Linked DNA regions of Mus musculus: all the other regions are reported to be linked to region 1. Evidence: microRNA targets listed by miRTarBase, many of them from high-throughput screens and not tested one by one. Region 1 holds a microRNA gene; each other region holds the end of a gene's coding sequence. Distances are from middle to middle.

What was found. The annotated mature microRNA mmu-miR-539-5p reads GGAGAAAUUAUCCUUGGUGUGU and lies in region 1 at 2,041-2,062, opposite strand. An mRNA with a match to its seed (bases 2 to 7 or 8) in the 3' UTR can be bound and repressed. Matches are read on the target gene's strand: a 7mer-m8 pairs with bases 2 to 8, a 7mer-A1 pairs with bases 2 to 7 and ends in A, and an 8mer does both.
Region 2: the mRNA of Syne2 is a reported target of mmu-miR-539-5p. Seed matches in the 3' UTR shown: 7mer-A1 at 3,676-3,682.
Region 3: miRTarBase lists Ncbp3 as a target of mmu-miR-539-5p. Seed matches in the 3' UTR shown: 7mer-m8 at 2,409-2,415, 8mer at 4,717-4,724 and 7mer-m8 at 4,822-4,828.

The regions. Positions count from the first base shown.
Region 1 is chr12:109,725,124-109,730,197 of GRCm38, reverse strand. Mir539 (microRNA 539) reads right to left here and starts at 2,069; the gene lies at 1,996-2,069. It overlaps Mir381 (microRNA 381), which reads right to left and starts at 3,376; the gene lies at 3,302-3,376. Mir487b (microRNA 487b) reads right to left here and starts at 2,865; the gene lies at 2,784-2,865. It overlaps Mir544 (microRNA 544), which reads right to left and starts at 873; the gene lies at 796-873.
Region 2 is chr12:76,109,500-76,114,573 of GRCm38, reverse strand. It overlaps Syne2 (spectrin repeat containing, nuclear envelope 2), which reads right to left. Exons shown (of 116, transcript NM_001005510.2): 116 at 3,646-4,752. The coding sequence ends at 4,530. Among named protein-coding and RNA genes, the nearest start is that of Esr2, 65 kb to the left of the region's middle.
Region 3 is chr11:73,078,327-73,083,400 of GRCm38, forward strand. Ncbp3 (nuclear cap binding subunit 3) reads left to right here. Exons shown (of 13, transcript NM_025818.3): 13 at 615-5,074. The coding sequence ends at 850. Among named protein-coding and RNA genes, the nearest start is that of Itgae, 9.7 kb to the right of the region's middle.

The DNA of each region.
Region 1 (5,074 bases):
CTCTGACAGGAAAACCGGGGCCTCTTGTCTACTGTCCTCTCTCCTTCCAGAAGATTCTTCCAATGACAAATTGAATTCCTAGACTCTGAGAGGTGAATTCCCATAGTCTGTAAGAAAGCACATGAGCTGACAGCAACCACTCACTGCTACACATTGGTCCTAGGGCTAAAATCTGGTCTGACGGAAAAACTCATTCCCACAAGAGCTTCCTAAGGCAGGTCAATTTAGAAACAAAATGGAAGTCTATCTGGTCCTCCCTGAGAGGTAAGCTGGATGGCAAGAAGCCAGCAGCTGGCCGAATATCATGGAAGGGCAATGGCACCATGGGCATTACCTCTCTCGATAACGTCGAGGGTTGCTGGTAGATACGACAGATAGGACTCCTCCTTCCCCAGAAGCTGTGGTTCCAGAACTGTGCTCCTTACAATTGACTGGAAATGGAGAGTTACAGAGTCAGATGGTCTCAGTCACCAATAACCTGGTGCTGACAAGTCCTGCTGTTGGCTGACATAGGCAGCCCCTCCTTGAAGTAGCTCTTATATCTGGGAAGCCCATAGAGGCATGCTTTGATTTGAAAGAATAATCAATAATCAATAATGGTGTTTGTACAGCAGGTGGCCTTTCACAACTGACCACAGTTTGATCATCAAAAGGTAGCATATTGGCTCAATGCTCACTCATGATGGATAATGCGGGGTGGATGGAGGAGATGGAGCACACACACTACAAGGAACATGCAACATCACCTCCAGCCCCCAGTGGCTACATGTGTTGTCCACGGACCGGCAGCATTAGCATCACTTGAGAGCTTGCTAAAAATGCAGAATCTTGGCCCCTCAATCAGACTCTGCTTTTTAACAAGATCCCTAGGTGACGAATATCTTAGCAGCGTTGAGCAGTTTGAGAGGCCCTACACTAACCAACAATTTGTACAAGCATGCATGCAGGCACACACACACACACACACACACACACACACACACACACACACACACCAGATTATGGAATGAGCTGAAATGGTATGCTATTGACCAGGTATGTCTAAGAAAAAGTCAGCCCAAAGGAAGCCATAGGAACAGATAGAGAGTGACTTAAGGCAGCGGCGGCGGCAGGAAGTATCCTTATTAACACCTGTATTAACCACAGGAAGTCTATGCTCAGAATGGATGCTGAGGAGAGTGGGTGCTGGACCTAGAAGACCCTGGCCAAGTTCTGTCTACCTAAAGAGATGCTTGACCCAGTACCTTCTCAAGGAGTTCCTCTGAACTAAGACTTAACAGCAACAACAGACAGGTGAGTTATTCTCAGTGTTCTCCAGACCAAGCACAAAGAAGCAAGCCACCAAAGCTGTTGCCACCTCAAAGCTGTCACTGTGAGAGTACATGGGGGGGGGGGTGCCTTCTGAGGTTACTCTGCCTCAATAAATTCTCCCTCTCCTGCAGCAGGTACCAATGTCCATTAGCTGAAGTCACCACTGTGCTCTAGGACCTTCGGAAGCAAATCCAGATATGGGGCAAACAATGGTCGTCCCAATTAATCTCCATAAATATGGCGAGCACACTATTGATAGCCACCCTGCAAATGTCAGAGAACCACCGCACCGAGAAAAACCGCAGGACCTCCTCTCACGATCCAGACCAGACAGCTCGCCGGCCTCTGTCATTCAAGCACATGCTTGTGGAACCAGTCACACTCTTGAGCAAGGGGCCGGGGCCTGACCCCAGTGACTATCTGTGAGATTGGCTGCCCATCCAAAAAAAAAAAGAACGATTTGCCAAGTCATGAAAACTGTGCTATCTCACCATGACCAAGCCACGTAGGAACCCCTGGACTCTTCAAGCAAGATCCTGACTTGGGATCAGAGTGTAGCTCTTACACATCAGTTCTGTGCTCTCTTGCCTTGTGCCCAGGTAAGGCTAACCCATGCATCATGCACCAGGCACCTCTTTAAACAACCGTCTCGTCATCCCGGAAGTCCACCAGGGCAGTATTTGATACTCAAAAAGAAATTATCCTTGTATGATTCATCCAAAAGAGCCAACACACCAAGGATAATTTCTCCTCAAGTATGAAACAGTAGCACAGCAGGAATACCAGCATCCATAGGCCTCTTGGGAGTGATCACCACTCCTCACACGTGGCTGCACCCAATACATACATGCACCATGCATGCAGTACTACTGATGGCCATTCTAAGCACCAGGGAGGTGAGAGGCTATAGAAATGACTCCCCAGGACTCAGCATGACAACCTCACGTTAGCCTCTTCTAAGGGTAATGGTGGCTGGGGTCAAGAAGCCAGGCAGTGTCCATCTTAAGTGGAGCAAGCATTGTGGGTGGCCCTGCTGACCCCCGGCATGGGGTCTTCTGTTCTAGAAGCTGCTACAGAAATGATGTCACTGCCGAGTCACAAGCACCACCTTGTAAGTCCAGCACAAACTCTAAGCTCCAACACCCACTCACATGACTGACAGAGAATGTCTGTCTCAACATGGGCTCCCAAATCCAAGGAGAGGTTTGTATATCACCATCATAGCTGCCAGCAGTCAGCTCCCAGCAGACAAAAGTTTGGGCTGGCACATGGTCAATAATGAGCCTAGTCCCTACAAGAGCCTGATCTCTCCCAGCCCCCGAGAGCCATATGCATTGGACCCCAAGAGGACTCGCGAGTGACACACGAGACAAGGAGCATAACACGGCGACACCCTTGTCCAAGGATGTGTGATGGGAAGTGGCAGTGGCAGGATCCAGGCGCAGGAAGCCAGGCTGCAGAGTCTGCGCACTTGATACTGAAAAAGTGGATGACCCTGTACGATTCGGCATGAGTGAAGCGAAGAGGACAGGGATAACCACTCTCCAAGTACCAAAGCTCGGCCTGGAAAGCAAAGCCACCGCCTCAGGTAGACGTGCTACGTCTTCCAGGTAGGGTCCTGGGGACGAATTAGACGCTGAGCGTTAGCAGACTGGGTCACACACACCAAGCAAGAACATGCACACTTGGGTACCACGGCACGGCAGCACATCAAAAAACAACGGCCCACACCAGCACAGACCTGACCATCAGCCTGGGAAAGCAGGGACCCAGGCTACACACAGAGAGCATGCTTTGGGACCAACCCATATGGACAAGGAGAGGGGATGTACCCGAGGTCTTTCCTGAAGTCATCTTGCGCCCATGAAGCCGTTGGTGCATAAAGGAAACCCAGGAAGCAGTTTGTCACACACAAGATGGATACACACGGTCATGCACACACATACCACATCCCTCGCTGAGTGTGGACGGGATCCAAGATAAGGTTTGATACTCACAGAGAGCTTGCCCTTGTATATTCCATGTCAATAAACCGAATATACAAAGGGCAACCTCGCTTTAAGTACCAAACAATAGCATGGGGCAGGTTCCGCTCTAGCATTCACGGGGTCAGCCTCGTCTCCTGGGACTTAGCCTGGGGAGGGATGATGGGAGATTCGGAATCAGCCAATTACATGGCAAACACCACCTGCCAGATGTGTGCCCACTGGTCAGCTCTCCATCCAAGGAGCTTGGGCTGGGACAGATACTTGGGGGGTGGGGGGGACCTTTTTCTGATATTACTGGCAGATGTTACAACAGATTGAGATTTTCACTCTCTCAGGAAATACAGAACTCAGATTTTTGCTTTCTGTAGGTAAACCCTGGTTAGGACTACAATCTTATCCTTAGCACTTTCTCTATGATGCCCACCTGGCTGTACACTGCACACAGAGGACAGGAGGACCCCAGGAATTTATAGAAGTGATTAAAGCCAATCCTTTCTGCCTTCCCAGTAACGGGTATCAGTGTCACTCCCAGGACCGGACCCTGCCCCACTAATTCTGCCCGATAGTGGAATGGGACAGAACTAGAAGGAAGTTGATGCCATACAGGGGTCAAACTCCACATGCCACTGAATGATGGAACCATCTTTCCTTTTTGGGACCTCTTCCCCAGAAAAGAGCAGGCAGGAATGGCCACAGGTTTGCACTGAATCATGGCAAGGAAAAACACTCACCTTTTTTTGACGGGATGGGTTGCTTCCATAGGTGCGGGCTGTTAAAACTGCCCCCTTCTGATCTAGGTATAGCCACAGAAGAACACCAGATAGACCGCACGGAATGGGAAACTTCAGCCTCTTCCCAAAGACAGACACCACTTCCAGGAAGTCCTCACTTGGAGAGGGGTGGACCAGGCCTGAAATCATTATAAATAAAGATGTATAAACCAGTACTTGTATCAAAGCTGGGATAGTCTAACATCATGCTTTATCTTCTAAGGTGAATGCTGTGAGCAACAAGGCTCTGGAGATGGCTTGGTACAAACAGACGGCAGGTCTGAGGGCCACTGTCTTTTAACAAGCAAGCCACTGTTGGGTGATTATGTTCAATGCAAGTGCAACAGGCACCACAGTACCCTCTCCCACCCTCAAGAGCAAAAGATCAGGCACCAAGAGGACAAGGAGGACCAGAGACTAATAGCTTAGCCAAAGGTCCCATCTTAGAACCAAGAATTGGTACATACCCGAGAAAGTCAGAAGTCACGTTGTATCAGGAGACCTGACCCAAAGATGGAACAGGGCTGGAGTAGTTCCCAGATAGAGTTAGATGTGAGGACAAGTGCCTCTTGCAGTCTATTACCATCAATAAAGAGAACATACCGGAGGCTATCCTCTTTACATGAACCAAGAGTTGGGCCAGGGAACAGTGAAGCACCTGTGAGCCTGGGCTGAGCACAGGGGCTGGTGAAGCAAGCCTCAGCTGGCTGGCTCTGGAATTGGCTGCATACTCTGCACACTGGTACCCAGCCCTAAAGTTAGTTTACTTCTCAGTATCACTCCAAAACAGGGTGATCTTCCAAAAGACTAGGGTGGGGCATGGGAGGATGGGCATGGGGTGGGGTGGGGGTGGGGATTCTGTGTAACTTAACAAAAAAGTGACAGAGAATGATTGGCATTCCAGAGCCTGCAAAGCCACCCTGGCAAGAAAGCCTCCACCTGTGCCCACAGCTGCAGCCTCCAGGAAGTCCTCCAGATGGTCATCGAAAGAGCAGGATTAGTACG
Region 2 (5,074 bases), 34 Mb from region 1:
TTGTCATCTTTCGATGCTTCCCCCCAGGCAAAGGATGGTCAGGGTTGAACTACTAACATATTGTGATGGTTATTGTCAGCTGCAGCTCTTCATTGCTGAGGGAGCACACCTAGGAGGGAAGCACCTAACTGTGGGCAGCAGGAGTCCATGGGCTGGTGTCCCTGCCTGAGGGAAGAGAAGCCAGTAAGACACAGACATTTGTGTGCCTCCACGTTCTGACTGAGGTATTTCATTACTGCGACGAAATGTACACATGCAGGAAAGTCTCACTTCCAGACAGGTTGTGGGTCTCGAAGTCTCAGTCATTCACAAAGATAAATATAAGTGGAACAGAAAGCTTAGAGGCAAAGCCTTCCAAAAAATTTTCAAAGTGATGTTTGGGGGCTCAGTGGTTAAGCACACTGCTCTTGCAGAGGACCTGAGCTCAGTTGCCAGTACTCATCACATCAGGTGGCCCACAACTGCCTGTAACTGCAGTTCCAGGGGATCTGACAACCACTTCTGGTCTTTGCAGACGCCTCCACTCGTGTGTGTGTGTACCACACACAATATACACAAGTATACATTTAAGTAAAAAAATAAAAATCATTCAATTTTTTTCCTTGACCATTTCAATTCTATTTACCTGATCCTTTCACTTCTCCAAGATCTATTCCTTTCTGACCCACCGAACTCTGCTTTTTTTTTTTTTTTTTTTTTTTTTTAAAGTATAGCTGGGCGTGGTGACGCATGCCTTTAATCCCAGCACTCAGATTTCTGAGTTTGAGGCCAGCCTGGTCTACAAAGTGAGTTCCAGGGCTATACAGAGAAACCCTGTCTCAAAAAACCAAAAAAAAAAAAAAAAAAAAAAAACAAACAAACAAAAAAAAAAAAACAGTTTGTGTTACCCAGATGTTCTTACACCCTTAAAGAAAATAGACTCTCCCTCTCCCAAACACTATCAACTTCCAATAGCTCCTAAGGCAGGATTGGGACTTAGCATCCACCTCCCCTCTCCATGATGAAATTCTGTCTGGCCTGAGCCAGCACTGGTCTTGTGCATGCTGTCTCTATTGCTGTGAAATCATATGTGCAGCCGTTCTGTGTCTAGAATGTCCTGTTTCTTGTCACTCTTATGCTGACTCTTACAGTCTCTCCAAACCCTCTTCTACAATGAACCCTGAGCCTTTGGAGGAAGGGGGTATGACATAGATACAGGGCTGAGCCTTCTACAGTCTCTTATCCTCTGCATCTTGATCAGTTGTGGGTTTTCCGTGTGAATTACCACCTACTGGAAAAAGCCTCTCTTATGAGAGTTGATGGATGCACTAATCTATGGCTGTAACAGTAACCCGTTAGGAGTTAGTTTAATACAGTAATGGATCCTCCCTTTGTAATGTGTCCACACACAGGTCCCTTGGTCCTGATAAAAAGGGAAGATGGGCGGTTAATCCCAAGACATTCACACCACTATTATAGCAGTGGCATTGTAACTGTCTTCCAGGCTGGCTGTTGCTATAGTTCTCAGGGCTCACAGCTGGGCAAGATTGGTGACTTCGGGGCAGGAGTGGTGGCTTTTAACCCTGGGGCACTCTGGAGACAGAGGCTGGTAGATATCTGAGTTCAAGGCTTGCCTGGTCTATATAGTTGAGTTCTATGCCAGCCAGGACTACACAGTGAGGCTCTGTCTCAAAAAACAAAAACAAACAAACAAACAAACCAACCAAGCAAACAAAAAACAAAACCCAAAAGCCCAAAAAATTATTCCTTTCCATCTCTGGTAGCATCTTCATGTACTGTGAAAGCTGGCCAGTAAGGATGGCGAAGCCTCCATGCGAGTGGCAGCTTAACTTCTCTGGGTTTTGTGACTCAAGTGTGTTGTGTCTTCAGTACTGGGCTTTCCTATGAAGTACAAGAGTGTAACTGAGAACATTGGTAATAGCCTGTAATGTTTCAAATCGTTATTATTTTGTGTATGTGCGGGAGGGTCTCACTATATAACCTTGGCTGGCCTGGAATTTAGAGGTACAGTTGCCTCTGTCTCCCCAGGGGAACTGTAACATCAAGTGAGGCGCTCCTTCAGTTTTAATAGATGGCTTTGCTAGGTGTAACAGTTAGGCTCTTTCAGGATTTGGAATACAGCTTTTCAGGCCCTTTAAAGGTCTGTAAACTAATCAGTGGTTATTGTGACCCACATGGCTTTGTAAGTGACTTGACCTTCCCTCTCTTGGAGCTCCAAAGCCCTTTTTCATATTTTGCATTTTTAATATTTTAACTATAATACACTGTGGAAAATTCCTTTTCCCATCTTACCTATTTAGCATCCTCAGGAATCCTTTTCCTTAGGTTTGGGGGATTTTCTTCTATGATATCTGTGAATAGGTTTTCTAGGCCTTCATTATACCTTCTTCTCCTCCCATGCCCAGGATTATGCCTTTTTATGAGGTTCCAAAACTTTTCCATGCTGCATGTTATTGTTATTATTAAATTTCTCTTGATCTTCACTGAAAGATCCAATTCCTTTGTCTTTCATCCCTGTCTGTTTTTGACACAATCCATTCTGTTCCCATTCTGGCTTCCCACTGAGGCTGTTACATGGTTTATTGAAAATTTCATTTCTAACATTTCCATCTGAATTGTCTTAAAAAAACTCAAAACTATTTAGACTAGCTCCTTTATTTTGTCTCTGTCTTGAGTTGTTTGACTATAGTTACAGTCACTCTTTGGATTATTTAAGTTCTTCTATGTCATTTTCATTAGGGGCCATAACTGTGGGATTTGTACATCTGGAATTTGTTGGGTGAGGGTTGTTTTTTAAAAGTGTATTTATTTTTATGTATGTGAGTGTTCCATCTGATTCTACATCTGCATATCAGAAGAGGGCATCAGATCCTATTGTAGATGGTGGTGAGCTGGGATGTGGGTCCTGGGAATTGAACTCAAGACCATCAGAAGAGCAGCCAGTGCTCCTAACCACTGACCCATCTCTCCAGACTGGTTGAAGATTTTCTTTTATTCAAGTCTTCATCTTTCAGCAGAGGTATTTAGTGTTCAGGATGCAAATGCACAGCAGCACTGGGAACCATTTTGTTTGGTAAATGGAGATATAGCCTCTCTCCAGGTCTTGTTTCTCTGCTAGTCTGGCATTGTCTTCAGCTCTAGAACAAGTTTCACCTGGCAGTAGGGACTGACTAGTCCTGGGTCTTAAGGCTGCGGAGGATAGCTGGCAGGACTCTGGACAGTGGGGTATATAGGTGGTGATTGAATAGTCCCTGGTGGCTATTGTGTTGGGATCTGGTGAGTCCTGGAGGGAGGAGAGACAGGCTAGGAGGAGGAGGCCGTCCCTGGCAAGCAGCCAGAGGACTTGGGTGACCCAAATGGACGCTAGGAAGGAAAGTGCAGGTTTCCTATGTGTCTACATGACATGTGATGGCTACAGCCTTCCTGGGATCAGCTGAGTCTCAGGGAGACAGAGAGGAGGGGGCAGTGTGAGGGACAGAGAACACAGTCAGCCTACCTACCTGGCTGGGTCTGTACCACAGGTGGCAGCTGTAGGGTCCATGGTAGCCATGGGCTGGGACCAGGTGAGTCTAAGATATTTGTTATATTTGGGAGACCAAGTGCACCACTGATCTGCTTTCTAAAAGAGTCCAATACACAAGCAGGGCTTTTTTTTTTTTTTTTTTTTTTTTTTAATGAGAAACATCTGAGTTGACATATCACAAATAGTTCCAAGTTTCTTTACCAACCCCTGGTGGCCAAACAGCTCAACCAGACCTGAAGTATCTCTTTAAACATGAAAAGTCTTAAAAAATTAAATTATAAAAACATCCCTATCAAGTCTGTAGTTTGGCATTTACTGTACATGAGTCAAAAGCTCAGGCTAAAATCTGTTTTTTTTTAAATCAAAGTTTACATTATACATACAGATTCAGCATTGTTAAAAAATATGCACAAATAACGACATCCATGCAATAAAATTTCCTTAGAAATTTTTAAAGCAATGTAAAAAGAGCTGACCCGGGTGCTGAATGGGAGGTTTTGGTTTATAACCTGGGAAGTATAGACTACTAGCTGATTGGAGGAAAACTGATTCTAAATATTTAAAATGTGTTTGAATCAACCAATCAGCTCAGTGCACAGGAATTTCCGAACCATTACTAAATAAGGTAGGGGGCCCACTAGCTTCTTGGATATAGGTCATTTACGTGCTGAACACCATTGTTCATGGGCCTTATGAGCTGTGCTACAATAACTGTTTTCCACAGTGTGTGGCTCTTCCAGAGGCCCCGCCCCCACCCCTTTCCGGAGTTCTCTGAACCCATCTGGTAACTTTATCTGAATGCCAGGTCCTGCTGTGCTTGATTCTCTGTTCCAGCAGAAGGACATCTTGTCTGAGTTGTCCTGGGCTCCCAGAGTCCACTTGGACAAGAGGAGGGAGTCCCTGGACCTTGTCAAGGCAAAGTCACTCCGGGGTTAGTCTGATCCCACGAGCTGAGCACTTGTGGTCAACAGGCTGTCGGCCATGGCACTGCAGCTGGTGGAACCTTCTAGGTGGGAGGTGGCCCGTTGGTGTACCGCAGCATGGGGTAGAAGGATCGGGCAAAGTTGTTGGCCTGGGTGCAGCTGTAGTCATCTTCAGAGGCAGGTAGCAGGCAGGCCAGGAGCAGCAGCAGCAGCAGAAGCAGCTGCAACGGTAGCGCTGCCCTGATCACCCTTGAGAGGAAGGAGCGTCTCGGCTGGGAGCTGCCGGGGCTGTCGAGGTGGGGCATCCTGACAACAGAGAGGTGGGGGGCACTCATCAGGAAGGTTCTTAAGGTACACTCACCATCATCTGACTATATGCTTAGGGAAAGAAATCAGGGCTCTGGGATGTGAGGCTCAAATAAGCTGGCAGCTGGGGTGATGGCTGATTAACACTTAAATTGATAAGGTATAGATTCATATAGGAGATAAGCCTTTGGGCATGGCGGTGAGGGATTTTCTAGATTAGGCTAACCTGGAGCACAAGGTCCCCAATGGAGGAGCTAGAGAAAGGACCGAAGGAGCTTACAGCCCCATAGGAGGAACAACAATACGAACCAACCAGTATCCC
Region 3 (5,074 bases), not on the chromosome of region 1:
TCTTGTAGTATATGTATATCACCACATTCTAAACACATGCTTCTTTGTAAGGTTTTAATAAAACACTTCTTTTGGGGGATTTTTTTTATGTTTTGCTTACATGTTTGTCTGTGTACTGTGTACATGTCTGGTGCCCTTGGAGGTGGGAAGAGGGCATTGGATCCCCTGGAAGTGGAGTTATGGACTGTTGTAAGGTACCATGTGGGTGTTGGAAACATAACCAGGTCCTCTGCAAGAACAAGTACGCTTAACCAATAAGGCCTTCAGCCAATACATAAACACACTTTAAAAATGTATAGCTGAAAACCTGAGAATTGCTCATAGTAAAACAGACCCGTTCAGTTTGCAGAATGTGAGAGTTGGCGGTTTCTTGGCAGACTGAGGGGTACACAGCCTGGGAGAGAGGCAAGTGTCTAGTTTGTGCCTGGTATGGGGACACCAGCCTTGAGCTGTGAGCATCTCCCATCGAGTCTCAGGCTGTCCACTTACAGACTGGCACCAAGCACCTCTCCCGATGTTTCCTGCAGAGCAGGTGTTGGCAGTGTCCTTACTTCCACAGAACTACTTGGTACTCGGCATCGACTGCCAACTGAAGTGTCTTCTCACCCCAACAGGTGGTTTGTGGACTCGCTTAGGATCTACACCCAAGACCAAAGAAAAGAACACGAAGAAAGTGGATCACAGGGCATCTGGTGCTGAGGAAGATGACTCGGAGCTTCAGAGAGCATGGGGTGCTCTGATCAAGGAGAAAGAAGAGTCTCGCCAGAAGAAGAGTCGGCTGGATAGCTTGCCTTCGCTCCAGATTGAAGTCAGCCGGGAAAGTAGCTCTGGTTCAGAGGCAGAGTCCTGATGCCCTGGCCTTGGCAACTGCCCTTAAATCTGACATTCTTACATAAGGTGGGGCGTGCAGTGGGAACCTCCCTTGCAGGAGCTGGCGCCCTTTCCTCCTACCTGCACCCTGAACACTTGCTGTCCTAGTAGGACAGCTTAAGAGTGTGATGAGTTTTGAAGGAAGGGTGTCTCTGTCTTGTGCTGCAGAGTTACAGTTCTGGGTCCTCAAGTCTTCCCCACCACCCCACAAGCTTTACCCTTGGAGTTAAAGGCAACCCTCCAGATTTTGTAGACATTTTCTTAATATTTTTAACATTGTGTCTTTTAAAAGCAATGTTTTACACAGTCATCCAAAGAGCCGAGAACTGAACTTCTCATTGTTGCCTTGGCCCTGACAGATCTTGCCAGCACCCTGTTCCAAGAAAAGTCAGTTCTCAGGTGCTTACTGGACAGTCTTTGAGGGGGAAGATGAGGGAAGCTGCCAGCTCAGCCTTCCAGGGCCTTAGTGTGGTGGCTAAGTCTCTCAGACCTGACCTGAGACCCTCCCGAGTAGATATGCTTGCAGCAGCAGTCAGCAGTGGCTTCCATTCCTCCCGGGGGGAGTCTTTTAGAGCCTTTTGCTGGCTGGTAGCCTGGTGTAAAGACCAAGTTCAGTGCTGTAGGACTTCTAGGGACAAACAACTGTGACTTCTGGATTTGGAGTTGATTTCTGTGCTTAGGGGTGGGGTCTTGGGTTGATGTTGAACAATTTTTAAGTCTGTATTATGTTTAAAAACTATTAATGACTTAAAAGTTTAAATTTTTAATTTTTATATGTGGATATTCCTCCTGTTGGCTAAGGGGAAGCTCAAGTGGTGTCTTTTGTGTTGTTAAATATACATTATATACTTTGGAAGAAGGCAAAGAAAGGAGTGTCATTATTTTGAATGGTACCAATTGTATGGTCTGTTGTACTTGAGTTCAACTTGCTTTGTGGCCACTGTAGGAAAGAAACTGCTGTCCATCTGTGATGGGCTCTTGTTTATTCCCACTTTTCTAGAAATGATACCCTGAGAATTCACTCTTTGTGTCTCTGACTTATTATTGAAGACTTATTCAAAACTAGCAAATAAGACAGTAGTTTCAGAAAATGTAAGTTTATGTTTATTCTCCTTTCAAATGATTTTACCATGGAAAGGGAGTAAGTAGATTATTTGGCTTCTCATCTGACTTTACTTTATAGTATTTAATACTGTATTGCTCTACAGGCTTAAAAGTGGTGTTTCACTTGAGTGCATAAGCATGCCTTTGGGATGTCAAGCTCTTCACCTGCTCGGCTTGTTCTGTGCCCAGTAGGTCACAGAGCACTTGACTTGTGGTTGAGCACGTGTCCCTTGGTGGCTGCCTACACTGTGAATGAACAGTGATGCACATGAAGAAGCAGAAGACTTCAGAACTAAGTCGTAACAAAACTGTATCATATGTATCATTTGGTTAGCAACCCCACCCCACCCCCATCTCCACCCTACCCCCAGAAAGATGGGAGCATATAACCAAAGTGGTTTGGCTTCTGAGGATCCTAGAAAAAGGTAGTTCTAATTTCTCTGCCAGTTCAGACCTAAGTCCTCCAAGGTTTCTAAGTTTATCTTGCCCTTTGTAGCTCACAGCTTACAGTCAGGTTCTTAGAGGTTCAGACTTTGGTAGAGTAAGAAGAAAAATGGCCTGAGAACAGAGACCTGGATGCCAACCAGGACTCTACACACTGGGCCTGAGCCTTGGTTTCCCCATGAAGCAAGGAAATGGTCTGGTGCAGAGATTCTGGCTTTGTTGATATCTCTCAGTGGTATTTTATTCTTGGAAGTTGTGGCTGCAGCATGTTTTTCTGTTGAGGTGGCCAAAGTGTCAGGGAACAAGGTGGCCATGAGATTGTGAACAGAGACTCACCCCATCCGTTTACAGGCTCCAGTTCTCCCAGTGTGTTGAAGATGTGCCTGTGGGGTCTAGAGCCCCAACCCATCCTCAGCTTTCTTATTGTTCTATCTGGCAACCCAGGCCCATTTGCCTAGGGTCTTTGAGCACTTGTCAACCTCCTGCTAGAGATGAGGGGAGGACTTTATGGAAGGTAGGCAGTATGTATTCAAAACTAACTCCTTGAGCTGACCAGGAAAGATGCCCTTGAGCAGCATTGCAGTTTTTACAGCACAGACAACCCAGAAACGTACATACTGCCTAAAGTGATGGTCTGCCCAGCATCTCTCTCTCCAGCCAGCTCTCAGAGCTGCCCAGAGCTTCAACACCTTGAACCCTATGTGCTTAGGAGTGACAGTAGTCAGGATAGCCCAGCAGGCAGCTGGGTATACTTTATTCAGGGCACTTTCTGTACATGTGGGGTTAGTCTTTATATGTAGGAGATTATTAAATGCCCTTTTGCTGCTTCATAATAATTGCAGATACCTCATCTTTGTTTCCTACTACTCTTCTTTGTAGAGGGGCCTGATGGCCTCTGGCCCTCCTCTATCATAATTCCATGATTCCTTCCCCTGCTTCTGTCTTTCCTTTCTGCGGCAGCTTCTCTCAACCCTCCCTCTTCATTCTACACATTGTAGTGGGGGCAAATTTTTACTTGAGAGATACGTACATAGTATGCAGTTTATCCTTGTACAGTGTACATTTGATTGTCGTCTATTTACAGAGCTGTGGAACCATTATCATCATCAGTTTTAGAACATATTTATCACCAGAAAAATCCTGTTCCCACTAGCAGTCCTCCTTCACCTCTCCTCAGACCTGGCAACTACTAATCTTTCTGTCCTTGTGGATTTGCCTATAACGGACCTTTCATAAATGTTATATGCGATGTGCAATGTGTCTGTTTACTTAGTTTTAAGGTTCATCTGTGCCATGGTATATATCATCATTTCAAGTAGTGAGTACCTCTCTCTCTCTCTCTCTCTTTCTCTCTCTCTCTGTGTGTGTGTGTGTGTGTGTGTGTGTGTGTGCGCGTGTGCGCTTAGACATTTTCATTGTGTGGCCCTGGCTGCCCTTAGAACAGGCTGGTCTTGAGTTCACAGAGGAAGCTCTGCTTCCCAGGTGCTGGGATTAAAGGTGTGTGGCACTGTGCCTGCCAGTGGGTTTGTTTTGTTTTGTCTTTTCTCTTCAGTTTTTTAAATTGTCTAAATATTTCATTACAGTGCATATAATGGGCGTTCTGTGATTTCTAGTCAGGACGATCATGAATAGGCTTCTGTATATATGTGTGTGCAACACCCCTTCATGTTCTCCTTCATGGACATGTGGGGGTTTTGGTGGTGGTGGAGGTGGGTTTTTGTTTGTTTGTTTGTTTTTGTTTTTGAGACAGGGTTTCCCTGTGTAACAAGCTCTGTCTGTCCTGGACTCAATTTGTAGACCAGGCTGGCCTCGAACTCACAGAGACCCTCCTGCCTCTGCTAGCCAAGTGCTGGGATTAAAGGGGTGCACCACCACACCCAGCGTGTTTTCATTCTTTTGTATAGGAATAGAATGGATGGATCGTAAGGCAGCTCTTACCTTTAGTCTTTGGAGGAATTGCCAAGCTGTGTTCCCATGGAGGATATCAGGATTCCAGTTTATCAAGTCTTCACCAATATTGTTTACTAATTTGAAGTGTGTTTCATTGTGTATGTGCTGTGTTTTATTTTGTGGCAGTGCAGGGGACCAGACCCAGGACTTGCAGATGTAGACAAGTATTGTACCACTGGGCTCCATCCACAGTCCCTTAGCTGGTTCTGAGTTGCAGTTTCCTAATAACTAGTGATGTTGGCCATTATGTCTTCCTCTTCCTCCTGTGTCTGTGTCTGTGGTTTTAAGATAGGGTTTCATGTGTTGGACAATATTTTTGTTTTGTCTTTTTTTTTTTTCAAAGATAGAATTTCTCAGGCTGGGGAAATAGGCTTACAACCAAAAATATAAGAGTTCGGTTCCTAGCACCCATAGCTGTCTCTCCAGCCACAAAAAAAAAAAAAAAGAAAAAGAATTTCTCTGTGTAGCCCTGGCTGTTCTGGAACTCCAGGCTAGCCTCAGAGTCAGAGATCTGCCTGCTACTGCCTCCTGAGTGCTGGGATTAAAGGCATGCACCACCACGCCTAGCTATGTTGGGCATATTTTCATGTATAACAAGATGAACTCTTAAGATATCAATCTGATCTTAACTATGCTTGTGCTTGAGACCTTTCCAGAACTTCATCATTGTTTCTGGAATAAAATTTCAAACTTCTGGGCTGGAGAG